Diceros bicornis minor: one gene and its partners. The protein of the gene in region 2 purifies or fractionates together with the protein of the main gene of each other region. This does not show direct contact. Links are inferred from orthologs where the notes say so. Each region holds a gene or a part of one and is shown on either strand. Other genes may lie near its edges. The genes, in order: DHX38, CD2BP2, EAPP and DDX23.

Region 1 (7,486 bases), on a different chromosome or scaffold from region 2:
GGGAGGGCAGCTGGTCAAGAGCCCCTCCATAGGAAAAATAACCTTGCCCCAAACCTTTCGCTGCGCCAAACAAGTGACCTGTCCTTTTCCACTTATCTCCCTGGTACTACAGACTTACACATGACAACGCAAAGCATTTCTAATCCCATCATCTACTCCTCAGTTGCCTTTGAATGTTTCCCATAAATCTGAAGAAAATACCACTTCCTATCTAGCCTCAATATTAAAAAATCATAATAAAATCATAAAGCTCTAAATGTCCAACAAGAAACTGAGAGAGAAACATGGGATGTTATTTTCAGGCCTCCATGTTCATTCCCTTTGGGTCAATCCACCCTAAGGCCTTTACCTGTCTTTTCGGCTACTTAGGCCAGCCTGATCACTGCCCTCCTCCTCAGCGTCCCTCTGGTCATCCTTGCTCTCTTCCCAGTCCTTGTAGGAAGAGATTCTGGACTTCTTCTTGTCCTCCCCATCATCCTTCTCCTCTCGCTCCCTTCGTTTCAAGGAAGCCAATAAGTCCAGTCCCAGCAATGAAGGGCGAGGAGCAGGGGCCTTGAAGACATGTTGCTCACTGGCTGCACTTTTGGTCTTGCAAATAAGACCGCCAACCTGAGAGTCCAGATCAGTGCCTTCCAATCGATGGATCGAGGCATCCTCACTGGTGTCCTCCATGACAGGCTCTGAGATTTCTCTGGAAGGAAGACAAATCACTTGGTATTAGACATAAGTGGAGAGAAAGTTTGGCTCGGCTATATCCAAGGATAATTGTAGTTATAGGTATATTTAGGGAGTTAACCTCCATCTCAAGGCCAGGATTACTTTAGCTATCTCTTGCCAAGACCTTGCCATCAAGTCATTGACAATCTCAAAAGATCCTCTTACCACCACCCCAAGACACATCAGAAATAGATACACACACACACAGCCCACACACGCAAGCCAAACACCAGGATCCAAGAGGATATCATCCAGGCAAGAACAGACCTCACTAAGGGACACTTACTAAAGCCTGGTGGCATCTATAAAGGGAGTATAGGGGAAATACCAAAAGATTTGTAGTCAGAAACCATAATTAGAATCCAGGCTCTTGACATTTTCTACCTGTATGATTGTAAAAATAACTTAATCTGTGGTTAGGCATAATTTCTATATCTGTAAAATGGAAATAATTTTTGCTTTATCTAATCCATGAAGTTGTTGTGAGAATCAAACAAGGAAGTGCATCTGAATGCTCTCTGTAACCATAAAAACTACACAAACGGAACTGTTACATTATTTGCTGTGCTCCTATATACCGAATGAGTCTCTTATCATTTTTTTACATGAGTTCTTCTACTTGTCCCTCCCTTTAAACTACAGATACAGCAAAGTAGAGATAGTGGGGTACAAGGCTACTATCCATGTGATCCATACATTAGTTGTGTTTTGTAGAAAAGAAAAACCTCACAGCAGTCAAAATCTGTTTAATAACAATCCATGTTCACCACAAATACTGATGAGAAGCACTAGGCTGGGAAACAATGTTTCTAAAAAGTATCAAGGTGACTGCAAGATTTCCTCGCATTCAACTTGTACCAAATTCCTCTTTACCTCCCGCTACACACCATCCGTTTATAAACATACTCAATTCTGAGTGCTTGGATAATTCTCCTCATTCCAACAAGTCAGTGAAGCAAAGGAACTGTCAAGGGGTAGGGTACCACCAGAATCCAGAAGGTGTTGCCCAGCTCTAATTAACATGCACAGCTCTATAGAAGAATATTGCCAAACAGACCAGACTCATAACATGGACAGAAACAAGAGATGAATTTTGAAAAATGCCATCAGGCAGAATAGAAAAGGAAGCTGCATATTGGTAACATCTGTCCGCATGTGAGGATATCTAAATAGGAAGGTAAGATATACAGACTCTGCTCACCAGTAGTCTGAACTAGAAAATATATCCCTAGAACGTCATTCTATGCAGGAGAGAGAACCTTGTCTTGTTGACTGCTATGCCCAGTACCTAGCAAAATAAAAGTCTGATGAATAAATGAATAAATGAGTTTAAACTGATTATAAGAGATGAGAGGCCAAACATTTCTACAGACAGCAAGGGAAGATACCAGCAGCACAGGACAAGGAGTCTGACAGACTTAACTCGCTGCTGAGCAGAACAAATAAGGAGTTAAGGGCTAGATTCCGGAGAAGGATTAATGGCAAAGAAGCCACAAGGGATAGGAGAAAAACGATGAAGAAAGAAACTGGATTTACTCATCCAACAATTATTCATTGAGTGCGTTCTGTGAGTCAATCGCTGTTCTGGGCAATAGGATGGAGCAGAGAACAGACAGACAAATGCCCCGCCCTCTTGGAGTTGATATTCTCGTAGAAGACATGGCCTGGTAGAGATACACTGTGACGGAAGAGGAAGACACAAGGAGCCCTACTTGGGCTCGGCGTCCGTCTGGGAGGGAGCTAATGCCGAGACCTGAGGAAGGGTGGACCCCGGGCAGCATCCCTGGACCCCAGTGAGGCCGCCCCAGGCAGCAGGATCTGACCAGAGCAAGGAGAAAGGCCGGGGCACGACGGACTGGCGCAGCATCCTTAGGGTGAGTGAGGCAAGTTGGGTGACAGGGACAAGACTTGCCAAACCCAGGCCAGAACCTGAGCGAGGGACTGATATCCGCCGCCTGGAGCCGCCATGATTGGCGAAGGGCACGTCAGGAAGGAAGAAGGGACACTCACCTCACCAAGCCCGACTCTCGGGACCTTCTGTCCCGGATTCTGGGGCGCCGGTGCCGCCACTCCTGGCTCAGACCGCCTTAAAGAGCCAAAACCTCAACCTCGAAAGCCGCCATTATTGTCCCATGAAACGCTGCGCGGTCCCCTCTATCTGTCCAAGGGTACCATCGAGAGCAGCCCGGAAAACGCCAGTTCCGGGCTCCCTGTGTGGGACACAACGCGACCACGCTCTCAAGGCTAGAGTGCCCTCCTGTGGGGCTCTGATCAGAGACACTTCCGAGTCTCCTTGCGACCAATCACGCTTAGTCTAAGAGGCGAAGGCCCGCCTCTAGTCGGAGAAGGGGGAAGGAGAGGCAGAGAGGTCGGTCATGTTTAATAAGGGCGGAAGTGACTCTAAGGCTTCCGGTTAGAGCCGGGGGAGGAGGCGGTGACTAGAACAGTCTGTTCTTGTTGTTGAGCGCTTGAGTGGGGACTGTTTCGCGTCCGTCTACTGCGGCTGTGCGTTTTCTCTTTCCGTTTCCGTCCCCTCAAGTGGGCCGCTGAGGGTTGCTAGGCATCAGCCCCTGGGGGTACTTTGGAGTAGGGTCGCTGCGGCGGTTGGGACGGAAGAAAGGAGCCGCCCGCGTCCCGGCTTTTTGGAGAAGGGTCGGAGGTGCCGACAGCCCTGAAGTGGAAAAGAGGGAAGTGACTTGTACAAGTAAAGTGAGTATCATCTTCCCTGGCAGTTGTGGGCCAGGAATAGCCTAATCACAGGCATCGTTAAAAACATATACGTCGGGTATTTTGGAGAAGTAAAGACGCGCACCCCAATGTAAATAAAAATCACTCGTCTGTTCACACGCAGAGATTACCACTGATGGTGTGTTGGGATATTCATTTCCAGTTATTTTTCTATGTTAACATGTACAGATGCGTTATAGTTAGGTTTTGTACAAAAGGGGATCTTCATATACTATTTTATAACATTTTTCTTCATGGAGAACTTCAGTATCTGCAGTGTTCATCTCTAACACAATATTTAACGACTCTATAATAGTACATGGCAGGACTGCACTGTCATTTATTTTACCAGTCCCCTATTGATGGCCATTTAGGTTGTTTCCGGTTTTTCACCGTTATAAATGTGATGGATGTCCTTTATTTAAATCTTTGTGCACACGTCTGATTACTTACTAAGAAGGAATTCTCAGAAATGGCATTGTTAGCCAAAGAGTATTTCAGTTTTCTTTCTAGAGAAGTTTTGCTCCTCTACATTCCAGCAGAGACTATGAATGCCTGCCCCTTCACTCACACTCCTGCCATCATTGTTTAATCTTTGCCAATTTAATGGCTTTTTTAAATATATCATTTAACTTGCTTTCCTTTGCTTAGTAGTAAATCTTAACTTTCCAAATATATTTGTCCATTTGTACCTCTTCTTTTGTGAATTCGCTGTTGTTATCCTTCGCTATGGACATTTTCTTAGGTATGGTCTCAGTTTCTCTCTCCTCTTTCCAACATTTATCCAGTCCCACCCCACACCTCTCCAACCCCCAGGTTCCCCTCCTATTGAAGCTTTGTCCTCCCCTCACTTCCTCCTCTTCATCAGTAACATAGGGGAGTTGCTGTTAGTTTGAATTCTAGTGGTGGGACAGAGCCATCTTTTCTTCGACTTTCCCTCTCATCAGTAATTTATTCTGCCACTCACATTTGATGAAGTCCCATCTGGCAATCAACTTCCCTTTGTAAAGTATGACCTGTTACTGGAACTATTTCATTTCCTATGTGAATTTTTATTAATTCATATCTTAAAATGTGACTTGTCACAAAAAAAAATACAGAAAGAAATCCTCCCTTTTATTAGCTTTAGCCAACTTTGGAAATGAATTCAAAATATCAAGTATCTCGATGGAGTCTCTCATGGATGGACTCAAAAATAAAGCTCCTTGATCAAAGAGTTTCTCAGTCATAAAAATAGGAGCTTATTGTAGTAGAAAGAATGCTGAAGTAGAAATCTGGTGGCCTGGATTCTAGTCCTAGTTCTTTAGCTAAGAGTGTAACTATAAACAAACAAGTATGTAAATTGAGGGAGTTAGATTAGGCCCCTTCTATCTCAGTATTTTACGATTTGTTTATTTTTATGTGGTTTTCACACACACTTAATCGGTGTTTGCCATGTGGTAAGATAGGTGCACCTAGTAAGATATGCACCAAGAATCTTTAAGCCAGGACTCATGGTAATACAAATGTTCGTCAGTAAAGGACTGTTTGAAAAGTATGGTCCATACATGAGATAGAATGCTGCTGTGACAAAGAATGTGAAGTTTTCTGTGTAGCGATAGGGGAAGATCTTCTTATGTTAGGTAAAAAGGTGTAAAGCGCAGAGGAGTGGGTAAATTGTATGTGCAGGACATCTGTCGTTTGCTCCTCCAGATCCACTCTTCCTCCTTCTCTAGACTGCTGTGGGACAGGAGGCTTGCCTGCTTCTGCAGCTCCCCTGCCCTCTGATTCCAGAGGGAGGCAGCCAGTGGGAGCATTAGCAGATCAGAGGGAGGGAGGAGAGTGGCTGCGTCCTTTAACTGCAGGCTGGCCTCCTCTACAGCGGCCTTCTCCATTCAGCAGTCCTCCCACACAGTTCTGCTAACTCCTCCCTCCCGTGGCTCCCTCAGGCCTCATGTGGGAACAGCGCCCTACTGTGACTAGCCCCAGAGTACAGCACTGTACCTGTTGTTTCCTACACCCTGCCTTAATGAAAGTCTCTTCAAATTACCAAATTTGAGGATGTCATCTCTCTCCTGCTGGAAAACTGACTGATACAATAGGCTATCTTTTGGGTAAAAAAGGGAGAAACCATAGGAATGCATATTTGTCTTTTCTTGTGAATGCATAACAAAACTCTGGAAGATACATGAGAAACTAATGAAAGTAGTTACCTGGTGTCGGGGGGAATGGGGCACTGAGAACTGGGCCGGAGGAAGGGATTTTTTCACAGTAGGTCTTTCTATATTGTTTCTTTTTAAACCATCTGAATATATTACCTATTCCAAAGCTTTTTAATTTGTTTAACTAGGACTCATGCACTAAGTCTAACTGTCTTTAAACATTACGACTTGATTTTAGGACTAACAGTGAGGATTAATATTTGGATTATTTCAAGATGAGCTTCCTGTTGCCCAAGCTGACTAGCAAAAAAGAAGTAGACCAGGTGATAAAAAGTACTGCAGAGAAGGTGCTGGTCCTCAGGTTTGGGAGAGACGAGGATCCTGTCTGTCTGCAGCTAGATGATATTGTAAGTGAATTTTTACAAGAAATGGTTTTCATTAAAAATCTATACATTCTCACTTCAACATCTGCAAAGTGCATGAAAGGGAGCAGGCAGGGCCCAGGGATGTAGCCCTTCATTCATTAGCACACTTTAAGAGTTGATCGTGTGTCTGCCCTGAGCTGCACCCCTAAACTGGGATTGTGCTGAGCCTGTCCTGGATGTGCTTCCCCACTAACAGCAGTCGAAGCTCAGCATCACCAACAAGGCAGCGAAGAGCAGAAAACGTTAATAACAAGCATCTGTGAACATCATCTTATTGCTCACAACAGTTAGATAATTACTATTACTGTTCCCAGAGGAGCAGGTGAATGCCGGGGAGATCAGTGACTTCCCACAGGCACAGAACCACTACATGGCAGAGCTGGGATTTGAGCTTCGCTTCCTCTGCCTGCAAATATGCTTTTCTAGTGTGCTGCCTCCAGTGTATGCCTGATGATAATCTGTGTTTTCACAGCACATCTTCACACTCTGATGAGTTGGTGGGGAGTATGGGACAGAGTAGGTTTATTCTTGTCTCTGTTTATTATGGAGAGAGACTTACCCTGGACTAAGACCTCTTCCACCATTTTTATTACTGACACCCACTATGTGGATCAATTTTAAGAATCCTCATTACTGTGATTGAAAATGAGTGTGTGATGCGTTACCTGGGGGGAAGGGCCAGAGGATTACACCCTCAGCTGTAGCAGAGAGGGACTATCACTAGGGGTCAAAGGTATAAACTCTGAAGCTGCCTGAGTTCAAATCCCAGCCTTAATACTAACTAGCTGTGTGACAAGGGGCAGATTACCTCCCTGTGCCTCGGTCTCCTCACCTGTGACATGGGAACTGTAATAGTGTATACCTCATAGAAATGTTGTAAGGGCCGGCCCCGTGACTTAACGGTTAAGTGCGCGCGCTCCGCTGCTGGCGGCCCGGGTTCGGATCCCAGGCACCCACCGACGCACCGCTTCTCCGGCCATGCTGAGGCCGCGTCCCACATACAGCAACTAGAAGGATGTGCAGCTATGACCTACAACAATCTACTGGGGCTTTGGAGGGGAAAAATAAATAAATAAAATATTTAAAAAAAAAAAAAAAGAAATGTTGTAAGGATTAAAGGAGTTAACAAGTGTAAAGCACTTAGGACAGTTAGCACATCTTAAGTGCCATGTAGGTGTTTGCTATTATAATTATCATTTATGGGGGGGTTGGAAGGAAAGAGACTTGGGGGAATTTCAGTGTCTAGTACATACTTCTGAATTGTTTTGTGTTTTTGTTTAAGTGAGCATGGATTTGATAAATCCATAAAAAGTTTATAAAAACTTTACAGTCAGGGCCAGCCCCAGGGGCCTAGTTCGGCGTGCTCTGCTCCAGCAGCCTGGGTTCCCTTCCCGGGCGTGGACCTACACCACTCTGTTAGCAGCCGTGTTGTTTTGCTGGCCCACATACTAAAAAATAGAGGATGATTGGCATGGA
Region 2 (7,649 bases):
GTCCTTGAAGGGTCCTTCAGGTGCCAACACTGAGTATGCACTTCACCTAAAGAGCTAGAGACAGTGGGGTGGCAGTGAGTACCAGGCTTCCTGCTTACCCCCAACATATGTCGCAGCCCTTCCTGGCCTAAAATCTCCACTTCTGGGGCTCTATCCTGTACTGGCTGCAAGGAAAGAGACTGTGAAGTACTAAAAACCAAAGCCCTAAGAACAGCAAAACAGAAACCCCCAGAGGATATCGGACAACATTGTGCAAGTTGAAGGATTTTTCGATGGTGAGCAGAGTCCAGGTGGAGAGGCCACAGGCCACCTGATAGCCCTGGCTCTGCCCATAGGAGTGGTAAACAACGGCGAAGTGGTTCAAAGGAAGAGAAACTCCCAAGAAAGAACTTCATGAGGACACACTCAAGGACAGAGGCGAGGGGCTGTGGAGAAGGTCCTGGCTTTTGGCCATCAGCACAGCGAAGGCCCTAATACACAACTAAAGACTTTTATTAGGAAAGGAAAATTAACTGAAAAGTGGCCCCCAATATCCTCACTGCCTGGGGCAGCTGGGGCATCCTCCTCAGAGTCCAGGAAAGAAGGGGCCACCAAACTGGGCCCTCAGCAGGCTCAAGTGTAGAGATCAAAGTCAATACGTTTGGAGTTGTAGAACTGTCCACCTGGGGGGTCCAGCTTCCGGCAATAAACACCATCCGGGAAGTAGCCTTCATTCACCCAGGTCTGCAAGAAGAGAGAGTAGAGCTGGGAACGAACTGATGGGGTAGGAGGAGGGAGAGAAGCAGCAGAACGAAGTAGAAAGGGGTTTACCTGCATCTGGGTGCTGGTGAAGGGCCCGTACAGCTCAGCATCCCCTGTGTTCTCCCACTTATACTCCCACATCACATCCACCAGACCGTCGCCAGGCGACTCTGCTTCTAAAATAACAGGCAAAGCCAGTTGGGCCTCAAGTGCTCTGCCCCTGCCCACAACACCCTTCCTCTGCCCTTCAATCTCACCTCCTCTCTGGGCAGCAGTTGGGGTCTCCAGCTCTTCCTCTGCCACTTCCTCAGCAAACATGTCCAGAGAGGGTGGGGGTGTGGGGTCAGGAGGTCCCTGGGTCTGGCACCCCAATCCCTTCAGCCGCATGGCCAACCGTTCCCTTGTTTCCTGATATACGCCAAGGTTGCCCCGGGCCACCATCTGGTCAGCCAACCCAGAGAGCCGGTCCAGGCGCTGGGGGGAACTGGGCCGCCCAGGCCCCTTGCTGCCCCCTTTGCTTCCTCCTCGGGCCCCTAGACGCCTCAGTGCCCCAGCCACTGTCTCCCTTGGCAACAGCAGCTCCAAAAGGCCCTCTAGGAGGGCTTGGGCACTCATTGGTGTCTGGCCCAGGCTGTCCTCTTCCTCCGAGTCTGACAGTGGGCGCTGATCAGGTGGCCGCTCCCTGATCTTCACCTGTAATATGAAAATAGTAAGGGTTATTTGCTGAAAGCTGCCAGCAGGGCCGAAGCCCAGCACTTGCTGCCTCCAGGCCCCAGCCATGCCAGTCCCTGGGCCACACCCAGTCAATGTTGTCCAGCCAGCTATCTCGGATCTGAGCATCCCGGTTCAGGAAGTAGTTGCCATCAGCATCAAAGTGGCCTTCCTCCATCTCCTCCTGCAGGTTGAAGGGTGTAATCCGCACACCTCCCTCACTGGGTAGTGTGGCTGCTTCTTGACCTGCACCAAAGACACAAGTGTCTCATGCTAGGCATGCGAAAAAGAGGAGCCCCCTGCCACACATCGCCCCAAACCCCTATTTGTTCCTACAGCAGAAAGTCAACTCTTGGGTATAGCTCACCTTCCACATCCTCTGAGGCCAGGATGTCATATTTGCTGGATCCCTCATCATCATCATCCTCCTCATCACTGTCCAAAGAGTGTTTGCCTTTGAAGCGGCTCCCAGGACCCCCTGCCCCAGCCACAGGGTCCACCAGCTGTGAGCAAGAGCCAGCGAGTCGAGAGATGCAGGTTACTGGCTATTCCTCAAGATACTCTAGCATCTGAACTCAAAATGATAATCCTCCAAGCCCATTTCCCAGAGAACATCGAAAAGCTAGCTTTTTCTACCCTTTCTTTGTTCCTCCAGGTTTTTCCTCTTCTGACTTCGTTTCTTTTTTCTCCCCTACCTCCTCCCCAGAACGCAGGAGTCTGTGCCCCTCACCTTCTTCTTAGGGACACCGATTTCATCTTCATCATCCTCATCTCCGACGCCTTGGAAGGTCACTTTCCTCTTTGGCATGACTGGACAGAGGGGCGGTCCCCAAGCTGAGCCGAGGGAAACGGTGCAGATTAAGGGAACTGGGCAAGGATACTCACAGCGAGAGGGCCCCCAGCACAACGAATATACGTACTAGATCCAGTTTGAGAGGGGAGGGAGCACAGAATCGGGGGCCGAAAGGGGAGTTGGCAGCGAGGCGGCCCCCAGGAGTTGGTTTGGCATCAGAAAGAGTTGCTGGGGCGGGGACGGAGAAGTGGACGCGCGCAGAAGCTCCCTATGGACGCCCCCACCCTTGACGAAAAGAGACAGGCTCCCCTAAGTGAACGCCCTCATTCCCGGCCCCCGCAGCCCTGGGCGCGACGGGGCTCCGCGGGCTGACACCCGCTTCTCCACCTCCAGCTCCCCCAGAGCCCACGAGGCCCCGGCGGACGCAAGACCTGGCACCCTGGTCGCCCCGCCCCTCCCCATGCCGAACTCCCAACTCCGCGGGGTGACTCCCAGCTGTCCCGGCCTGTGTGTACAAATAAGGGAGCCGGCAGAGCCACGGGGTTTCGAACAGTTTCACCAGTGCGCGCTCACCTAAGGATCCAGGGTAGGCGGGGGAAGAAAAGGATAGATGCCTTCACCAGGGCTACATCCGGGGCACCCGCCGACATCGCCCGGAAGAGAACTGCGGAAGTCGCCAGGGAAAGCCGGAAGTGGCTTCACTCGGGTTAGAGGACTAACTGGAAGAGCGGGCGGAAGTACGGAATGAGCGGGGGGCGGAGACACCTCCCTCCCGGAAGTGACGTGAACCGTGTGGGGCGACGGAGGCGAGAAGAGGAGACGTATGAACGCCTAAACCCTCATCGGACGAGAGGAATGGCCGGAAGTAGCTTCCATTCCCTAGTACAGCAGTAGAGGCTCTGGAGTGAAAGTGGGACGCACTCTACTTAAAGTGGCGCCCCGGGTCACGATGGAAGGGCAAAGTCCCAGCAGGGCCAGTGGGTTACTGCTCTAGTTTCCCCCAGCGCTGGCCAAGGTCTCTACGCCCCTCACCATCTCATCAGAAATCCTGTCTTCCCGCTCTCAGCGTCGTTGTCTACCCTGTCCTAGTCCCAAGTGCAGCCTTGCTGTTCTCCCTAAGGGGAAGCCCGGCTTTCCTGATGCCCGGCTGGAAGCCTCTGACGGCCCTTGGGGCACTTGCTGAAACCAGCTCCCTTTAGGACCCAGGGGAAGTCATTTACCCCGCACCTACCCCCTGGGCGAATTCCTGGTTCTGATGGGAAGAGCCATCACAGGATAGGTGGCAGTGACACCTGTGCCCAGTACCCAGGCCAGAAGCCCCTTGTGCCCTGACCTCAGGTAGGCCTGGAAAAGGGCAGCAGTGCCTCTTTCTCTTGCACCAAAGCCGCAGAGTAAATCCCCCTGCTTAGCAAACAGGGCCCCAGCCCTGCATCCCCTGCCCAGGTTATCTGGCACAAGGGGCAGAGCTGGGGTTGGGAGGTGGGAGAAGCGGATCCCAGTGCTCTGGGGACAATACCTCCAGCTCTTGAGGATACTCAGAGTCTGAATCCCACTAGGCTAAAGCTGTGCCCAGGAAGAGCCCACTGGAGCCAAAGGAAGGCAGCATGGGGTCCCCAGGGTAACGCGACAGACCCTCCACTCCTCTCTCCTGCTCCCAGGGTTTCCTCCCAGATTGGACTACCATGAAACTGCACCAAAAGTCTGTGCTCAGTTTCTTCCGTGGGTACAGAGCACAGGCTCCAGATCAAGAGCATCTTGCTAAAGAGGGGGGCCCAAAATACCAGCTACCAGGGCCGCTGGTTCATCCTCCGGGGAAACCTCTTTTACCTGGAGCACCAGGCAGACCGCACACCTCTGGGCCTCATCCTGTTGGAGAACTGCCAAGTGGAGCCACAGAATCCTATGACTTCACCATGCTGACTCCCAGGGTAGAGGACACAGAAGGTGGGCGGGCCTACAAGCTGGCAGCAGAAAACGAGAAGGAACTGGGAGCCTGGCTGTGGGCGCTGGCTGGAGTGAGCTGGAGGTGGCTGTCTGTGCTGCTACCCACACGGGAGGCCCAGTACCAGGAGCTGTGCCAGGCTGCTGGCCAAGAGCCCAGCTCACCCCTAGAGGACTGTGGCTTTCTAGCTACCCTCAGTTCCCCCTCCAGCTTCCAGGAGTTGCATGAGCGCTTCTGGAAGGAGATCTGGGCACTGCAGGTAGTGCATAGAGGACTCCAGGAGGCCAGTGACAATGAAGGCAGCAGATCCCAGGCAAAGGTGGAGCAGGAGCTCAACCACTGTTTGTTGATGAGTGACTGAGAGATGGATCAAAGGCCAAGAGGTACCCACCTGCAAAGACCAGCCAACTGCTTCAATAGACACCCAGATTCTGGCTTGCTCTGTCCCTCCCTAGTCCTTATTCTAAACCCCTCCATCAAATAACAAAGCAGGAGACAGGCCCAGGTACAACAGCAGGTTCTTTTCTGGTTCCTCAAAGCGCCACACTGGGTGGGAGCAGAGACAGAAGAGAATGTAAACATTGGATTCTACCCCCTGGAGCTCAAGGGAAGACCCCTTACCCAGATAAGAGGCTGGACGATTGGAAGGGAATAAGGTGAAAGATGGGGGTCCTGGTGAGACAAAGCAGGGGAGGCCTGAGAATACAGAGGAGGGTGGGTGAAGAGAAAGGAGAGCAAGGACGGCGGTGGGTAGGAAGTGGGGGACATTTCCTGTTCCAGTGCATGTCCCCTTAAATAAACCAGAGTGCAGGAGAACTCAAGGACAGAAGATAGAGCAAGCACCCCCACCCTGGGCCAACCAGGTCCTCTGTACATAATTACAACACAGAGATGTCCAGAAGTAGAGTGAGGAGAGCCTCGGCCCCCAGCCAGGAAGTGGGGGCGACAGGCAGGACTGAAGAAGGGAGAAAGGAACCCAGCTCCACTTCACGGGTAAGGGGAGCAACTGGAGTGTAAGAATCTGAAAACTGCTGACTCCCATTGCCAAGAGTCACCCTGTGGTGACAAAAGGCCGATCAGGACAGCACCTGGGAAGGGACCCCAGAGGGAATTGGGGCAGGAGTGACAGAGACCCCAGCTGGGCCTAACTGGAGGTGAGGGGCCCCAGACTTGCTCACGGCTGCCCCAGGGAAATGCAGCTGCCCCGTGCACTCCAACTGTCCTGGCTGTGCAGGGATCAGCAGCTAGCAAGGGGATGGGGAATCAAGCCACTTTCCTCAGAAAGAGGGACAACTGGCCTGCTCTTGGCTGAGGGAAAAAGAGGGGGGCCATGCAGTCCAGCCCCAGGGCAGAGGTCAAAAGTAAGCATCCTGCCGGGCCTCAGATGCCGAGGACCTGTCCCCACCATCCTGGGGAGCGGGGGGACCATCTGCCTTTCGACGCAGCGAAAGCTTCCTGCCTTGGGCCTTCTTCTCCTGCTTCTGCCGCTCCTTCTCCTGCTTCTGCTGCTCCTTCTCCTGCTTCTGCCGCTCCTTCTCCTGCTTCTGCTGCTCCTTCTCCTGCTCTTTTTCCCACTTCTGCCGCTCCTTCTCCTGCTTCTCCCGCTCTTTCTCCTGTTTCTGCCGCTCCTTCTCACGTTCCTTTTCCTGTTTCTGCCGCTCCTTCTCCTGCCTCCGGGTCTCCTTGCTGGGACCCAGTGGGGTGCTGTTGCCAGTAGGCGAAGGAAGGGAGGGATGCAGTCCCTCAGCAGTGACCACAGGCCCTGGGGCAGGCCCAGCACTGGCCCTGCGGGCAGGAGGAGGTGGGGAGGGGGGCCCTCCAGTTGCCCGGGAGCCACGGCTCTTGAGGCCAGGGAGGCTGAGGAGGCTGGATGAGGGGCCGAGGGGTGGCTGCTGCCTCCGGCGCTCCTCGTGGATGGCCCGGGAGCCATGCAGTCGCCGTGAAGGTCGATACTGCAGCTCCCCCCGGGTCTCCCGCCACTTCTTGAGCTGGGCTGCGTTCTCTCGCTCAATCAGTGCCTCTGTCACCGGGAGGTTGGTCACCTAGACCGAGAAGAAATGAGTACCAGAATGAAGACGAGGGTGGGGATGGGCTGAAGCAGGTGTGGGGTTTGCTAAGGCCAAGACCTACCTCATGCACCAGGAAGTCCTCCTGCATGCACTGTTGGGGCAGGTTGCGCAGCTGCTCCATGGTTTCATACATGCCTTGGCAGGAGCGCAGCTTCTCCACCGAGCCCAGTGTGTGCCGCAGCAGCACCAGGGCCACCCGGAAGATGATCTTGACGCCTGCAGGGTCAGAAAGAAGAGAGCATATGTGATCAGGCGTGGGATCCCAGCCCGTCCCACATAGAAGGGACTGATAGCCCCCATCCCTGTCTACTGCCAACCTTACAGATGAGGAAACTGAGGCCCCAAGAAGGGAAATGAGCTGCCATGGGTTTCAGGGTCCTGAGGGAGAGCAGGCTCTGGGTTGGTGGCAGAGCCAAGACGAAGCCTCAGTTTCTCCAGCCCCCAGCTGGCTTACAGTGAAGCCAAGGCCCAACAGTGTTAGTGGGCCACCCTCTGGCAGCCACCATGGAAACTCTAGCCCCCTCATGGCCTGAATGGCTACAGAAGTACCTTCACAGAAGAACATATCCCAGACACGCAGCACTGAAGCCCAGGGCAGGGTGCGGGCGAAGATGCACATGAACCATTCTGTCATGTAGAGCACGGGGTCAATGCGCTGCCGCCGCAGGTGCCGATGTGCCAGAGGGGAGGCCCGGCGCAATAGTGCAAAAAAGATTTCTCCGTCTAGCTGAATGGCCTCCTGGAAGTGGGATGAGCCATGAAAAGAGGCCTGCTGTAGCCCCCTTGGGGTAGAAATGGCCCTGGTACAGGATCCTCACCTCAGCGGGAAAGGCCCAGAGGAGAGGGACAGAAGGACACAGGATGGGGCAGGACAAGGACCTCCCTGCAGCCTTGGTTAAAAGTCACAGCCCCGGTTGCACCCAGACTCCAGACACTTACCAGCCCTGCACTGTAGTAACCGGGGAGGTACTTGTCGCAGATCTGCACCAGACACCAAAAGGCTTGCTGAAAAGGGCAAGAACAAGGAGGAATGGATGGGGCCTGAGAAATGGAGCAGAGAGCTCCCCCATCACCACTGCAGGCCAAGATCCTCCCAGCCCCTCTCCAACCAGGACCAGCATATGCTGACCTCAGCAGGCATGTGCATGAGCAGCACTGCAGCCACTGGGGCCTGGGCCTGGCAGTAGCCCTCGTCAGGCCGGTAGATGGTGTAGGCCTTCAGGATTCGATACAGGTCCTGTTGCCTGTGGGTATTGGAAAAGACCATGAGGGCAATCACAGGAGTTGGGAGCTCTCTGACCCAAAGTAAACCTGCACCCTACCCCCCAGCCCCAGCCAAGACCCCTCCTAGATCCAGTTCCAGATTAACCTCAGAGCTTTAGCACCACACACC
Region 3 (7,996 bases), on a different chromosome or scaffold from region 2:
TCAATGCTGCCAAGGTTGAGATTTATCCAGTTTATTGATTTAGCCAATATGCTAGTGTTCCAAAGTGTGGAATGTAGATTATTTTAAGGAGTGGCAGGCAGACAGCCCACTAAGTAACAATGAAGCCATTGCTAGTGGGAATATAAAATGGTACAGCCACTATGGAAAACAGCTTGGCAGTTTCTTATAAAACGAAACAGGCAACTACCACACAACACAGCAATCACACACCTGGGCATTTATCCCAGAGAAATGAAAACTTAAATTCACACAAAAACCTATACATGAATGTTTATAGCAGCTTTATTCACAATAGTCAAAATTGGAAACAACCAGATGTCCTTCAATGAATGAATGGTTAAACAAATACAGAATACTGTTCAGCAATAAAAAAGGAATGAACTATTGATACCTTCAACAATGTGGATGAATCTCCAGAGAATTATGCCGAGTGAAAAAAGCCAATCCCACAAGGTTATATACTGTATGATTCTATTTATATAATATTCTTGAAAATGACAAAATTGTAGAAATGGAGAATAGATTAGTGGTTACCAGAGGTTAAGGAGGGCACAGGGGCGGACAATGGTAATATGAGGAACCCTTATGGTGATGGAGATGTTCTGTGTCTTGACTGTATCAATGTCAGTATCCCAGCTGTGATATGTACTGTACTTCTGCAGTATGTTAACACTGGGGGAAACTGGGTAAAGGGAACAGAGAATCTCTGCATTATTTCTTACAACTGCATGTGAACCCACCTCAAAATAAAAAGTTTAACTAAAAAAAAATTGAATCACATGGCAAGAGAGTTATACTTTTCTCAAATTTTCTTCAATCCTTGTGATTATTTCAACAGAAATCTCAGCACTTAGCACCGCTGGGCGAAGCAATACATCACGGGCCCTGCACATTCCTGTTGAGTATGCCAAGAATGCAAGGTTCTGATCACTCTTCACCCAGGCCTGCGTTTGCAGTGAACAACCTTGAGGGATGAGGCAATGTCTCTTTCCAAGACAGAGAGCAGGCTTATTTACTGCCTGCTGTAAAAGAGGTGGATTCTCCAAGCTCAAGTGGTCCTGAGCCTCGATGCCAACCCACTGAATGTGTAGCATCCATCTGGGCCTCTCCGGGTAACCCCTGTAAGACTTGGGAACTAACAGCGAGCAACACAAACATGATGCTCATGCTGCTTGCTGTGCTGTGAGTTGTCTCTGACCCACGAGTCTCATGTCTTCTGCCAGCTTCCATGAAACAGTAACAGGCTATAAAATATTAGCTTATAAGTAGGGTAAAATCAAATGCTGACCGACATCTCTTAAACATCTCTCTAACACCAATCTCCCTTTTCAAAACAACAAGCATTTGATTTAGAGCCTTGAGCAGGCAACATTAATAACAGTTTTGTTTTCGTAGTCTTTTTTTAACAGCTTTTCTTTTCTTTTTTCTTCTTTTGAGAAAGAGTGGCCCTGAGCTAACATCTGTTGCCCATCTTCCTCTTTTCTTCTTTTTTTCCCTCCCCAAAGCCCCCAGTACATAACTGTATATTCTAGTTATAGGTCCTTCTAGTTCTTCTATGTGGGACGCTGCCTCAGCAAGGCTTGATGAGCAGTGAGTAGGTCCACTCCCAGGATCCAAGCCAGGAAACCCTAGGACGCCGAAGCAGAATGCGTGAACTTAACCGCTGCACCCCCCAGCCAGCCCTCACAGCATTTATTTTTATAGTTACCTTACCAGTGACAACCGTCACAGGATTATAAAGCTTCCTCAAAGAAACTTAACTACAAAAATGTAAACTGATTTAAAGAAAAATATTAAATAAATAATAACCCGGGTGACTATGGAGATGGTAAGTGGGGGAATAACTCAAGTCCAGGAAACACGGCTATATTCCAAGAGGCCTACATATACCTCCTTTACAGACGGGACTCATTAACTGAAACGCTTTTTCACAGGGTATCCTGGAACCCATCCTCACTTCCCACCACAGAAATCTCCACAGCAGTTTGCTCTCTCATGCCTACAACCCTCCCCAGGATAGTATGAGGAAACATTGTGGCTAAAGGAAGGACAGTTTCACAGAAAGCTTAGTCGGATAGAATATTTTAAAGTTTATGAATAGAATCTGCTGACAACTTAAAAAATGGCTTAATTTGCCTGCAAATTTCTTGCCAACATAATCCCAAGTTTCCCCCAGGTAGGATTAATCCCTCCCTTCTGGAAATTCCCATGGAACTTCATCTGTGCCTATCTCAGGTCATAGTTTTCTACAACACTCTTCTGAGATACATGCTTATTTCCGAAACATATACCTTATTTCCCCTACTGTACTGGAAACCTGTAAAAGACAAATATCTTAGGACTGACCTCTGTAGCCCAGAGCAAGCATTTAACAGGTGCTCAGAAAACGTCTGTTAAATAGTCCCTTATTTCTGTTTACGGCAGTTTAGTCTTCAAGATGGTCACTTCACATTAAGTCCCGTAACCTCACAACATACTTCCGATATAGTTATTATATTTCCTCTTTACAGATGAGAAATCGAGGATAACTGACTTGCCTTCAGTCACACTGCTAGTAAGCTGCAGAGGCAGGATTCGATCTCACGGCTTTTGAAGACAAACGCAGAATTCCAGAATATCCCTCTTCCCCAAGCGGGTGTCAGCCCCGCCTCCCCCGTGGCTGCGCGACCTCACCAGAAGCCCCCTCGGCGTCCCACAGGGGACAGCGGGGCGCGACAACCGCCGGGCCGAGGGTCCACACGAGCGCGGCAGGCGCAGGGAGGGGAGGAGACTAAGGCCTGGCCTCGGCCCGAAGCCTCGGGGCAAGAACGGGGCAGGGGCCCACCTGCTCAAAGCCGGCTCCTCGTCGCTAGGCTCTTCAATTGCGTAGGGGTCATAGTCATCTTGGAGCCGGTTCATGATGGCCTGCGCCCTCCGACACGGTCTACAGGCGTCGGCAAAGCATCTGTTTACGCCGCAGGTCCCTTCCCTAAAGCGTTCCGGACTCCACCTCCGACCGCACTTCACTTCCGACCGCACTTCACTTCCGACCGCACTTCACTTCCGCCCGCACTTCCGCGCCCTCCCTGCGCGCCTGCGCAGATCGTCCCAACGAGGGGGCGGGGAGAGGGGGCGGGTCCCCGTGTCTCGACACTGCCCTCCGAGGCTTCTGCTCACCTGGAAACGGCTACCCTATTACCGGAAATAGTAATTGGCACCTTCGTAAATGGCAGTCTCTGAGATGAACGCTCCAAGTGCATTGTCTCCCGCCGTGACGTGAAGAAGCAGAAATCTAGATGCTGAGAGACATGCAGCCTGAAGTCCGGGCCAGTGGGTCCCCAGACACTAGCACCCGATGTCCCTCCAACCTCCTCGCCTCAAGCTTTTCTTTTTTTGTCACTGCGCGGCTGCCTCGGGCTCACCCTGTTCTCCTCAGTCTGACTTCAGCCCCAACTGTCTACCGGAAAGTTGCTAGGTTGCCACCAGTTACTTCCTAATTGCATTTTCTTGGCCTCTCCTCAGTCCCAACCTTTGCTCAGCCTTTATCCGATTCCACTCGATACTCGAGGTGAAGCCGATGACAGCTTCCCGATTGTGAGACCGTTTCCTCCCCTGTTTCTGTATTGGCCTACACTCAAGTTCCTGCCTCCTTCCGGACAATTCTTCCCTCTGCATGATCCCAATCAGGTGACTGCCCCGTCTTATGTGGTCCTTGCCTTCTCCTCCGGTACCAGGTTGGATTTCCAATCGCCTGGCTAGGTAACTCCGCCTGCTGCACCACCGGCAATTCAAAGTCAACGTAGCCCAGACCACACTCACCATCTTCCACCCCGTTCCTATATCTCAGCCAATAACTACTTTTGACTTCTGATTTCTGCGTATGTCACTTCCTCCATCCTTACAACTGCCATAGGCTGAAAGTCTTGGAATCTTGGTTGACTCCTTCTCTGTCCCTCCATGAGCCCTCAATTCCCAAGTCCTGTAGATCTCTTAGCAATACCTCTCTCACCCACCTCCCATCTCCCCACCCCTCACTTTGACTATTGATACAGGCTCCTAACTGACAGCCTTACTTTGCTTTTGTTCCCTCTGCAATCCATGCTACTCTCTACTGGCAGAGTAACGCTCTTCCAGCACAGCTTTTGCTCTGGATGACTTCCTTCCTAAAATGTCCCAATATTTCACCTTCGCTGGCTGATCTGTTCGCCTTATTCTGCAATATTCTTGGCCCTCCACAATATAGTTCAATGCATCATGCCATCCCTACAGATATCCAGCACAATTTGCTGATTCGAGAATATGCGTTATGCCTTCCACCACTAGGCTTTTGCTTATGCTATTCCCTGAAGCACTCTCTGCTACTTTTTTTTTTTTTTTTGGTGAGGAAGATTAGCCCCGAGCTAACATCTGTTGCCAATCCTCCTCTTTTTGCTGAGGAAGATTGGCCCTGGGCTAACAACCGTGCCCATCTTCCTCTACTTTATATGTGGGACGCCTACCACAGCATGGCTTGATAAGTGGTGCATAGGTCTGCACCCGGGATCCGAATCTGTGGACCCTGGGCCGCCAAAGCGGAGTGTGCAAACCCAACCACTATGCCACCTGGCCAGCCCCCCCACCCTCTCCTACTTCTAATTCCACCATCCAAACCCTACCTCAAGATCCTTCTGCAAGCAATGGATGGGTCAATAAATATATAGAATGACCCTTTAGGATACCTTTCAGCCATGAGATGCCATAGTTCTGGGAACTCACACTGTACCTTTTCTATGATGCCTTTTCAGATTCTCTCTCTACATGGGATCTTTCTCTGCTTTGAACTCTTGTAGGATAAGGTACCACTCACACGTGCCATGTGTTTCTCTGGTTTTCAACTATTGTTCCACCCAACTCTTTTGAGAGGTACAGTACTCTTCCATGAGTCACAGTGATGTGAAGGGGACACCTGTTGGGGAATCCATTTTTCCTTTTCTGGGAATTGTGGCCCTCCTCAGGGATATGCCCTTATATCCATAATCATTCTGCTCCATGAAAGTTGGGCCATTACTTACCTACTTACTCCCATAAACTTAAAAGTAAGAGTTACAGATTCTAAAGAGTTGGCTGTGGTCCTAGGACTTGTAACAGGACAAGTAAACTCAGGAGCTGAGGCTGCCATTTTAGGATGGCTGTTTAGGGGTTATATGTGTTGATGATGAGCAAGCAAAGAAAAGCACAAGTGTGTAACAGAGAGAAGCAGAGAGCTTTCCCTGACCCCCTTATCAAAAACTTTAAGCCCGCAACCCCAACCCCTTCTCTCCATCCCATCTTCTCTATCCTTTAATCCACATTTTTCCCCTTCTGATTCATGTTACTTGTTTGCTTATTTCTTTCTTCCTGTTCCATTTCTCTATTGCTGCACAAAAACACCACCCCAAAATTTAAGAGCTTTGAAACAAAAACAATCATCTAATTTCATCACAAATCTGCAGTTTTGGCAGGGATTACTCTGGGGTCTCAGTTTAGGACTGAAACTGCTGGGGACTCACTGAGCATCTCTCTTTTCATGCATCCTTCTCCACAAAGCCTTGGGCTTCCGTACAATATGGCAGCCCCAGAGTAGTCAGCCTTCTTAGATAGCAGCTCAAGTCTGGCGGAGAGGGTTCCCAGAGACCCAGATGGAAGCTACAAGGCTTCTTCTGACCTAGCCTCAGAATTCTCTGAACATCACTTCTGCCACATTCTATTGGTCAAGCTAGTCACTAAGTCCAGATTCCAGGGGAGGAGACAGACTCCACCCCTCAATGGGCAGAGTAGCAGAGATAGAAAAGTTGTGTTTACTGTCTAAAAAATTGTGTTGGCCTCACTATCTAAAAACAAAAGGAGACATGAACAGATTAAATGGAATATTTCAGATATCATGAACTTACTGTAAAACATAACAGTATATTTACAAATTTTTTAAGTGTTTTAAAATACTTTTCTAGGGGCTGGCCCCGTAGCTTGGCGGTTAAGTGCTCCCGCTCTGCTACTGGCAGCCTGGGTTCGGATCCCGGGCGCTCACTGACGCACCGCTTCTCCGGCCATGCTGTGGCCGCAACTAGAAGGATGCAACTATGACATACAACTATCTACTGGGGCTTTGGGGAAAAAGAGGAGGAGGATTGGCAATAGATGTTAGCTCAGAGCAGGTCTTCCTCAGCAAAAAGAGGAAGATTAGCATGGATGTTAGCTCAGGGCTGATCTTCCTCAAAAAAAATAAATAAAATAAAATACTTTTCTATTTACTAGTATTATATACTTAACTCCACCACTGCACAATTTGCACAGTGGATGAAATTTGTACTTTGCCCTGGTTTTCTTTCTTCAAGCTTAGAACCTTGACTTTTTTTTCCTTTAGATTTCCCTAGGTTTAGTTGTTGTGTATGTTGAGGCAGTTCATGTGATGTAGTTTATGACAGGCTTACTGAGGATGGCGCCATGGGAAAACGATCCCTGTGGAGTTGCTTGGGGAAATATCAGTACTTAGATGTTTAATGGGGGGGGGCTGCCCTCATAATAATCGTGTCCAGGGAGAATGAGTTCGGTCGGCCGGGCAAGGACAAAATGCGCTGAAACTTCCTTTTTGCTGAAAGGAAGGCGAGACCAGACCCGAGCCCTGACCCGCCCCCAGGGGGCCCTCAGCTGCCGGGCGCCGGCGCCGCGAGATCCGGTCTTCCCGGGCGTCCCCTCCAGGTCCCGGACTCGTCGGGTCTCCGGTGGGGATTCGTAGGTCCCGTATCCCCGAGCGGGAGACGGGACGCAGCGGACGTCACGACAGGGGCGTGGCGTATGCAGATGACCGTGCGCGCAGAGGCTGCTGGTCCCGCTTGGCCGGGCCGCGGCGTCCTGCGTGTGGAGATCCGAACGCCGCCAGGGTCGTGGTCCGGGTGGGCGTGGTGGGAGCACCGGGCCTGGAGGGGGCGAGTGCGGCGGGGGGCGCGAGGGAAGTGACCGTGCGTATGGAGCGGGGCGCATGCGAGGGTGCGGGGTGCGGGGTGCAGCGTGCGGGGGGGACTTATACTTATCTGGCAGGGGAGATACCATGATCACGAAGGTGGTTTTCCAGGACGAGGTTTATTTATTGCGCTGTGGATGTGCTGACTTGTGCAATTTCTCCGAATGTGGGTAACTCGACTGCATAACTTGTGGTAGCAGGGAATTGCGTTCGCGCTCTCTCATGAGGGTTGTGGTGTGCAAACGTAAGACCCGGCAACTTATGCGATCGCTCACTTAGTTACGGGTAATCTGCTATGCTTACAGCGCTTAGTGAACACATGTTGCGGAGAGCGCTGCCGTCTTTCTGTTTCGTTAACATTTAGTACAAGTGAAACTAATCGTAGTTTTATTTTATTCGATGGAGTATATAATCCATTACTATCAGTACCTTGATTTCGCCCGCGGGAGCTCTTTCAAACTGACTGTTTTGCGCTTGCCGTGACCGCATCACTCACTGCACATTTCTTTTCTTTTTGGCTCAGCTCCATGTTCCAGGCTCGGCTTGTATTTTCCCGGCCCGAGAGCCTCTCCTCCCCGGGTGCTGATGTGTTCCTCCACCCTCCTGCCCGCAATGACCTAGGCTCACTGAGAAGTGACTGGAGAAAGGCTATTGGATCAGGTGGAGAGACCACGTCCAGGACAGCCCAGGACGTGATCAGGCCGACAGATACCAAGCCTTCGAGGCCGTGGCTCCTCTCCTCTGCCCACCGACCTGAAGTCCTTTGGCAGAGGCGGCTGCTTCCCGAAACGGGTCCAGGTTCTGTGGACTTCCTGGAGAGGCGCTGGAGTGGAAGGGGAGGGGCAGAGAACACTGATGTCCGGGTTGGACTCCTTGCCCTGGCTCCACGTATTTTGCAGACGTTTCACATCCCAACTGGTGTGTGCCCACCACCCAAGACCGCTCACCCACCCAGCGCAAGTTCCACAGAGGCACAGCAAGCCACACTGAGGTGGCCTTCCTTCGACTGAGAGTGTCCTC
Region 4 (7,237 bases), on a different chromosome or scaffold from region 2:
CTACTCAGATGTTAAAAAATGTACTTCTAGTTATGCAACGGGAAAAACTTGGTGAATGGTACACAGGACCTCCATGCACTTCTTTTTCTGCAACTTCCTGTGAATCTATAAAGGAAGGGAGAGGAAGGAAGGAAGCAAAAACTAGAGGTCACAGACACTCTGACTGACATTCCCTGCTCAGATCTTCACAGCCTTGATCATTACCAAGTCCCATGAAAGGTCTGAGCAGGAATTTGTTCTGTTCCCCTCCTGCCTGGGACACTGAACACCATGCCACACTGTCACCTGTCCTTCAGACTACAAAAATCTACTTCAGCTAGGAGCTACAAGGACAGCAAGTCTGAATCTGCCTCTACTACTCCCCCGACCCCCACCATCATCATCATCCCGAAGACTGATACATTTCTCAGAACTTATTTTATCCCCAAATGGTTCAGCTGGAATATCTGTTCCCTAAGCCTTAGCTTACAATCCCCCTTTCCCATGTAATTTCCTGCCATATATCTTTAAGAAGGGAGAATGTATAAAGAAAAGAAAAATGAACAATTAACACTTTCAAAAGGTGGATACAACCCATTTTATCTCACAACTGCCTGAGAAATTACTGAATGTTTTGTTATCAGTATGTTATGCATAACACATGGAAGTTATACTTATGTCTCTTCCACTTATAGCCCTAAGAAAACAAGCCAGAAGAAAGGCTATCTTCTCTATAAAGCATCCTGGACATCATTCATTCTTTCAACAAATATTCATTGAGCACCTGGTAGGTGCCAGAAACTGTTCTACATACTAGAGATATAGCAGTAAACAAAACAAATTCCCTGATCTCATAAAGCTTAAATTCCAGTGAAGCAGATAACAGGCAGAAAGATAAGAAAATTTCAAATAGTAATAACGCTAATGCAGAGAATAAAACAGGGTGATATAAAAGGGAGGGGTATGAACAAGAGATAGAGGGCTCAGTAAAGAATTTCTTAGATGACATGTAAGCTGAGATTTGAATGATGGGAAAGACAGCCTCCAAAGATCAGGGAAAAGAACTTAATGGGTAGAAGGGACAGCAAGTACTAAGGCACTGGGGCAGCAACTAGCTTAGTATGTTTGCCAATTAAAAACAGACTTGTGTGGCTGAGTGGCACTGCCCCAGGGAGGAAGACTGATTGATTCAAGATGAGTTCAGGGAGGTAAACAGGAATCAGATCATGGAAATGTGTTTTGAGCCAGGGTAAAGGAACTTGGATTTTTATCTAACTGCAATGGGAACCTTAGAAGGGTGTTAAACAGGAAGTGATGTGATCTAATTTTACATTTTTAAAGAATTACTTTGGTGACTTGGGAGAAAATTTACAGCAGGGAGGCAAGTGTGGAAACAGAACCACTGAGAATGCTATTATAGTAGTCTAGGCAAGAGATGCCAGGGGCTTGTTCTAGGAAAGTGGCAACGGAGATGGAAAGAAGTAGACAGCTTCAGGGTATACTTCGGAGGCAGAGCTGACAGGACTTAGCAATGAAAAGAGAAAGGGAAAGACAGGACACAAAGTTAGCTCCCAAATTTATGGTTTGACCAACCTAATGGTTCATGGTACCATTAGTGACCGGAGAAGATTGGGGAAGGAACAGGTTTAGGAGGAAATCAAAAGTTTCATTTTGGCCATGTTGTGTGTAAGATGTCAGTAAGAAAGCCAAGTGGAGATTTCAGGAAGGCAGCTGAAAATGCAATTTTGGAACTCAGGAGAGAGTACCTGGAGACAAAAATTTCAGTCATCAATATATAGATGGCTTTTAAAGCCATGAGACACTAAATGATATTACCTAAGTAGGTAGTATAGTTAAAGAAAAAAATAGAAGAGAAGAGGACCCAGGATTGACCTCTGGAACACTGTAACATTTAGAGGTCAGGCACAGGAGGAACCAGGAAAAAAGACAGGAAAGAAGCAACAGCCAGTGAGAAAGGAGGAAAAAAAGTAAAGTATGGCATCCCAGAAACCAAACACATATTCCAAGGAGGGAGTTGTTAACTGTGTCAAGTGGAGAAAGACTAGGAGATGGAGGAGTGACCCTTGCATTTGGAAAAATGGAGATGGTTGGTGACCTTGACAAGAGCTGTTTCCATGGCATGGAGGGAGTAGAAGCCTGAGTGGAGTGACTTTAGAAGACAATAAGAGGTGAGAATAAGAAAACAGTAAAAATAGACAACTTTTATTATAGATTCTACCTATCACAATGGCCCACTCTGACCATTGCTTCCCAGCAGTCTTCCTTGCAAATTTCCAGAACTTTGAGTTCCTCAGTTCTTGTAGGGCGAGAGCAAGTTCTTTTTTTCATTCAACGAAGTATTTATCAAGCATCCACTATATGCAAGGAACCGTGCTAGGCGCCGTGTGAGTTACAAAAGGAAATCAGGAAGATTTTGTCCACAGGAAGCTTACAGAACAATAGAAGGTATGAGACACATACCAAAATGAAGGCTCAGATTAAGTTATTACAGGAGTTCAAAAAAGAAGTTTCCTTTCATTTGTGAAACGGGATTTGGAAAGAGGTGCAGAGGAAGTGGCTCTTGAGCGTTTAAGTATAGGTAGAATTTGAAGACGTGTAATTGAGGGTGCAGAAAAGGAGTCATTCCCGGCAAAAGAAATAATATAGGAGGCAGAGAGGCGGGAAAGCATGACTGGTTCTGGGAGAAAAGCCAGAGTTCCAGTTTGGCTGGAGCAAGGGCTACTTGAAACAGGAAGGAAGGTCATACTGGGGGTATCACGGGTGCTGTGCCCATGGGCAAAGGTCTGGCCCGTAACATCGTCCTGGGACTTGGCCTGTGCCCCCAGGAGCCAACACTCCCTTCTGGGGCCCGCGCGCCTTCGCTCCTGCTCGCCAGAGCTTTCCGAGCTCGTGCCCCTTCCCTAAGGCGTTCTTCTCCGCCTCGTCCCGGAGGCAGGGGCCACCGCAGTGCCCCCACTCTCGCCCTCTCTGCAAGCTCGTGGGAACCGCATCCACCGCCCGGGACTCACCACTCTTGAGTCTGAACCGCCCAACGCGGCCTCAACGTCGCCGAGCAGTCGCCATTTTTCCCGTTTCCTGGTCGCCGAGACGCACCCCCCGGGCGCGCGGCAAGCTGGGAAGGCGAGTTCCTGGTCTGGGGCGGCGCAGGTTGACAACTGAGGCCAGAGAACTACCAATCCCAGAATGCACGGCGCGAGCGCCGGGCCGAGCCGCGGGGTCTGCTGGGCAATGTGGTTCGCCAAATATTTGAGTCAGCGGGAGGAAGAGTTTTCCGTGGGTCGGCTGCCCTAAAAAGGTTCTGTCACCGTGTAGTCTTCCTGGAAACTGCAGTTAAGGACTATCACGGCCTGTGGCTTATAACGGAAGAATTTAAGGGCTACCTTAGATATCAATAGTACTAGCAACTGCAGTAACACCAACAAATACCGTGTGTGGAAAAGCGTTTTTACAAAAAAAATCTGTGAGATAGATTATTAGCCACATTTTACAGGTGACAAACTAAAGGTTATGATACAGGAGTAGCCTAGTATTTCACAGTGAGAGTGGGACAATTCATTGTGCGGGACTATCCCAAGTTTAGGAGCACATTTTAGCAACCCTGGCCCCGCAGTAACAACCCCCAGTTACTGTAACAGCTCAAAATGAGCGCACACGATGGATTCCTTCAAAGACCTCCCCGAAGGATGGTGTCGCCTGGGCTGTAGCACCTATTTTTCTCAGCCTTCCAGATAGAACCCCTGGCTTCCTCATTTTCTTGCCCTTTGCAATGTGGCCAGTTGTTAGGCTATCTTCATATTTTGCCTTCTTTCTTCCTCCTAGTCCCCCCTCCTCAGTCCTCCACTGAGCCTTTTTTGCCCCAAATTGTATGTTCACTTTGTTTCTTTTTGGTCTTATGGTTCATAATTCTCCCCTCCCCCCCAAAAAACCCAAAGAACCCCCCAAACCTTGCAATTTTTAGGATGGTTTAGATAGATACTAGGAAGTATCGAATGCCTCCTTCCTTCTCATTTTCCCAGCATCAGCTTTTTGGTTTTAATCCCACATGGCTGTAGGTCTGGCTATTTTTTCTAAATATGCCTTCAATTCTCCTCAAGCAGCGCCTCAGGATAGACTCAAATAATCCTAAAGCCCTGAGCATCACGCACAATGTCCCATAGTAACCCTGGGAGAGGCACACTTCTGCTCTTAGAACTCTGCAGCCTCTGGCCTCCCCACTTCTACTCCAGAGAGAACTGAAGGAAAAGGATGTCTGAGATCTACTAGGTGTAATTCACCCAGTGAACACTGGAGGGCTCTCCACTCACAGAGTGGAACTCCAAGTAACACTCGGACTGGAATGTTTAAGAGCGGCAGCTACTATTTACTGAGAATCTTCTAAGTGTCCAACTCTGTGCTGGACACTTATCTTACTTTACTTAGTTCTCATAACAGTATGAGCTAAGTATTATCTCTACTTTACTGATATGGAGATTGTGGCCCAGAAAGATTAATTATGACTTCAAAGTGCCATAAAGAGGAGAGCCAGGATTCCACTCCAGTTTCTTTTAAACCCAGAGACCATGTTCCTTCCCTATTTCCAGGCTGCCATTCTAAACCGTCTTTAAACATAAGTACATTGAGACCTAGAAAGGCGATGAAGCTTGTCCAAGTTCATAGTGGCAGAGTTCCCCCAGTACTTGTGCACATCTTTCTCATGACATGTGTAAGACACTGAGCTTAAAGGATACTCATTGTTGTTTGTATTACCCTGATAGTTCTTTCACAAACATGCATCTTTGGAGATGGAGACAGGGGGACTACGTTCTAGTAAGGACCATAGGTAGAATCTCCTATTTAGGTACAACAGGGCTGGCAAGAAGGGGCCTATGGGATTATACTTAACATTGAGAACCAGTTGGAATCCTGACTCCATTACTTACTAGCAGAATGATCTCATGCGAGTTATATGGCCTCTCTGGCTTTTCTATTTCCTTTCCTTTATAGAATAGGGATAATAATGCCACTTGCCTCACAGGATAGGATAGCAGAGCAGTGAAAAGTGCACGTTCTGGAGCCAGGTTGCCTTGATCTGTATCCAGGTTCTATCAGTTTCTGGCTGTGTGACCTTGGACACATTAACTAATCTCTCTGAACCTCAGTTTCCTTGTCTGTAAAATGAGGTAGGTAGTACCCCATAGGGTTATCACAGGAATAAATAACATATGAAGAACTCATAGCCACCCTGACCCATAGTAAACATTTAACAATGTTAGCTATTATCATTTATATGAGGTTAAATGTGATAATGTAGGTAAAGCTCTCAGCACAGTGCTGAGCACATAGTAAGTACTCAAGACATAGTAGCCTTTTATTTTTAGCACACTATGAAACTTGGAAAAAAGAGCTATAAGTCACTGAAGAGAAGGGATGTTAAGTCCCCTGAGCTGCCATCAACAGGCAACTGAATTGGAAGGTCAAGAAAGCAGAAGACATGAACTCAGAGGAGACCAGAACCCCAGGAACCTCCCCACAATGTTGGCTTCACTGTGTCCACACTTGGCAGGGGTTGGGATCTCAGCAGCGCGGATCCCCTACCGATGATGTCACCAAACCTTGTTTCTCTCTAGACTCTCTCAACCAGGAGTGATTTTGCCCCAGGGGACATTTAGCAATATCTGGAGACATTCTTGGTTGTGACAACTGGCGGGTGCTACTGACATCTAGTACGTAGAGGCCAGGGATGCTGCTAGACATCCTCCAAAGGACAAGACAGCTCCCACAAGAAAGCATTATCTAACCCAAAATGTCATTAGTTCCAAGGTTGAAAACTCTGCTCTAGGGCTAAGGAGATCCTCTTTGGCTTAGTAGGACTTGGGTGGGGTTGGGGATGAGGCAGGGGTGGGGGGACAGGGAGGAGATCCTTGTCGGAGGTGCTAGGGAACAGTGGAGGCAGCCCTACAGACAGGACTCCAGGACAGCTTTTTCCTCCTTATCAAAGACCAAAGGCAACAAGAAACTAAGAAAACAGAGCCAGCTTCTTTATATATGTTATATTTTTCATTAATAAATAAGTTTTCTTCTTTAAACACAGAACATATAACAGATTGAAACACTCCCCCCGCCCCCCGATTCCGAAGACAAGAGTCTATAAAACAAATGCCAGCTGTACTGCCCTAAGGGCAGAAAGAGTCTGGTGACCCCCACCCAGTCCTGCCCCCTGCAGCACCACCACCCCCACACTGCGAGAGAAGGCGGTCTGGGGCTTCTCCCTTGGACCCTGGGGACTTAGGTGAGAAGCATGTGAATGTATGATGTCACCTCTCCGTGAGGCATGGGCTATGCAAAGATGAGGTTTCCTTCTCATTGGCTCTGCCCAGCTCCTGCCCTTCTGATTCCAGTTATGAAGCACCTGGGCTCAGCTCCCAAGGGAGCTGCCTCTTGGCTTCCCCACTGTCCACTCCTCTGCGGCCTCCTCAGGGGGGAAGAGAAGGGCTCAGGGACCCCTCCCATCCCCTGGCCTGCATGGAAACGCTGTGTGGAAGAGGCATGATACTGAAGGTGAGGCTCCTGTAGGACCCCGAGCCCATGAGGCCAGCATGCCCCATACCCTCACACCTTTCCTTCCTCTGGAGTGGGGGCCACTGGAGCAGCTGCCCCCTCTACCACCTAGTGCCTGGCTTGGGGTGTGATGGTTCTTTCTCAGTGTCAGGTCCTCAAGCTGGGCCTGGCTCTTTCCTTGTCCCATTCCTGTCTCCTTCCAAGCCCTCACCGTGGCCGTCTGAAAAACTCGTGTCCAGTGTCCTAAATTGTCTCATCCTCCCTCTCCCCGTGCCTTTGCAACCCAAGGGAGGAAGTGGGAGGTTGTCTCCCCTCTCCAACCCCCATTTCACATAATGGAACAGCTTTTGGCCTTTTCCTTCTTGAAGGTAGAAGAGATGAGTTCGGAACGACTGGGGAGGTGGAGCAGTCGCTTGGAGAGGCTTCGGACGGGGCTCTTCGGGGGCACTGGGCTGGGCTTGTTCAGACACACCATGGATGCTGTCCGGAAGATGCTGTGGATACTCTTTTCTGAGGTGAAAGCTGAGCCTTCCAGGTAGATTTCTGCACCCAGCTGCTTGGCTATTGCACAGCCCTGTGAGGGGTGATAGGTATGGGATGAGGTCATCAATGCAGTGGTCCAAAATGGCTCTGAAACACTGCCTTCTGCGGTTAGTGGTACTCCCCAGGGCTACTCCAGATGGGACCCAACTGCCAGTCC

What was found.
Region 1: the proteins of CD2BP2 (region 2) and DHX38 purify together in Homo sapiens (affinity purification with mass spectrometry; 3 studies listed by BioGRID and IntAct, counting the BioPlex papers as one, with this or other methods). This does not show direct contact. The link is inferred for Diceros bicornis minor from reciprocal best matches to the Homo sapiens genes CD2BP2 and DHX38.
Region 3: the proteins of CD2BP2 (region 2) and EAPP purify together in Homo sapiens (affinity purification with mass spectrometry; 3 studies listed by BioGRID and IntAct, counting the BioPlex papers as one, with this or other methods). This does not show direct contact. The link is inferred for Diceros bicornis minor from reciprocal best matches to the Homo sapiens genes CD2BP2 and EAPP.
Region 4: the proteins of CD2BP2 (region 2) and DDX23 purify together in Homo sapiens (affinity purification with mass spectrometry; 6 studies listed by BioGRID and IntAct, counting the BioPlex papers as one, with this or other methods). This does not show direct contact. The link is inferred for Diceros bicornis minor from reciprocal best matches to the Homo sapiens genes CD2BP2 and DDX23.

Annotation. Positions count from the first base shown.
Region 1 is NC_080771.1:23,320,630-23,328,115, forward strand, and holds the start of DHX38 (pre-mRNA-splicing factor ATP-dependent RNA helicase PRP16), read right to left. Parts: upstream 3,001-7,486; 5' UTR 2,728-3,000; intron 2,592-2,727; exon of another isoform or gene 2,436-2,591; intron 692-2,435; 5' UTR 673-691; coding exon 350-672; intron 1-349. Other genes in the region: TXNL4B (thioredoxin-like protein 4B), read left to right, coding at 5,861-5,992. UniProt on the Homo sapiens protein: Probable ATP-binding RNA helicase. Involved in pre-mRNA splicing as component of the spliceosome.
Region 2 is NC_080765.1:21,531,683-21,539,331, reverse strand, and holds CD2BP2 (CD2 antigen cytoplasmic tail-binding protein 2), read right to left. Parts: upstream 3,111-7,649; 5' UTR 2,819-3,110; intron 2,524-2,818; exon of another isoform or gene 2,373-2,523; intron 2,287-2,372; 5' UTR 2,261-2,286; coding exon 2,183-2,260; intron 1,956-2,182; coding exon 1,820-1,955; intron 1,699-1,819; coding exon 1,541-1,698; intron 1,435-1,540; coding exon 999-1,434; intron 918-998; coding exon 811-917; intron 724-810; coding exon 613-723; 3' UTR 475-612; downstream 1-474. Other genes in the region: TBC1D10B (TBC1 domain family member 10B), read right to left, coding at 5,543-6,229, 6,318-6,472, 6,806-6,995, 7,196-7,261, 7,386-7,500. UniProt on the Homo sapiens protein: Involved in pre-mRNA splicing as component of the U5 snRNP complex that is involved in spliceosome assembly.
Region 3 is NC_080744.1:14,753,439-14,761,434, reverse strand, and holds the start of EAPP (E2F-associated phosphoprotein), read right to left. Parts: upstream 3,011-7,996; 5' UTR 2,920-3,010; coding exon 2,846-2,919; intron 1-2,845. UniProt on the Homo sapiens protein: May play an important role in the fine-tuning of both major E2F1 activities, the regulation of the cell-cycle and the induction of apoptosis. Promotes S-phase entry, and inhibits p14(ARP) expression.
Region 4 is NC_080756.1:20,755,203-20,762,439, reverse strand, and holds the start of DDX23 (probable ATP-dependent RNA helicase DDX23), read right to left. Parts: upstream 3,072-7,237; 5' UTR 3,009-3,071; intron 106-3,008; 5' UTR 76-105; coding exon 70-75; exon of another isoform or gene 25-69; intron 17-24; exon of another isoform or gene 1-16. Other genes in the region: RND1 (rho-related GTP-binding protein Rho6), read right to left, coding at 6,866-7,111. UniProt on the Homo sapiens protein: Involved in pre-mRNA splicing and its phosphorylated form (by SRPK2) is required for spliceosomal B complex formation.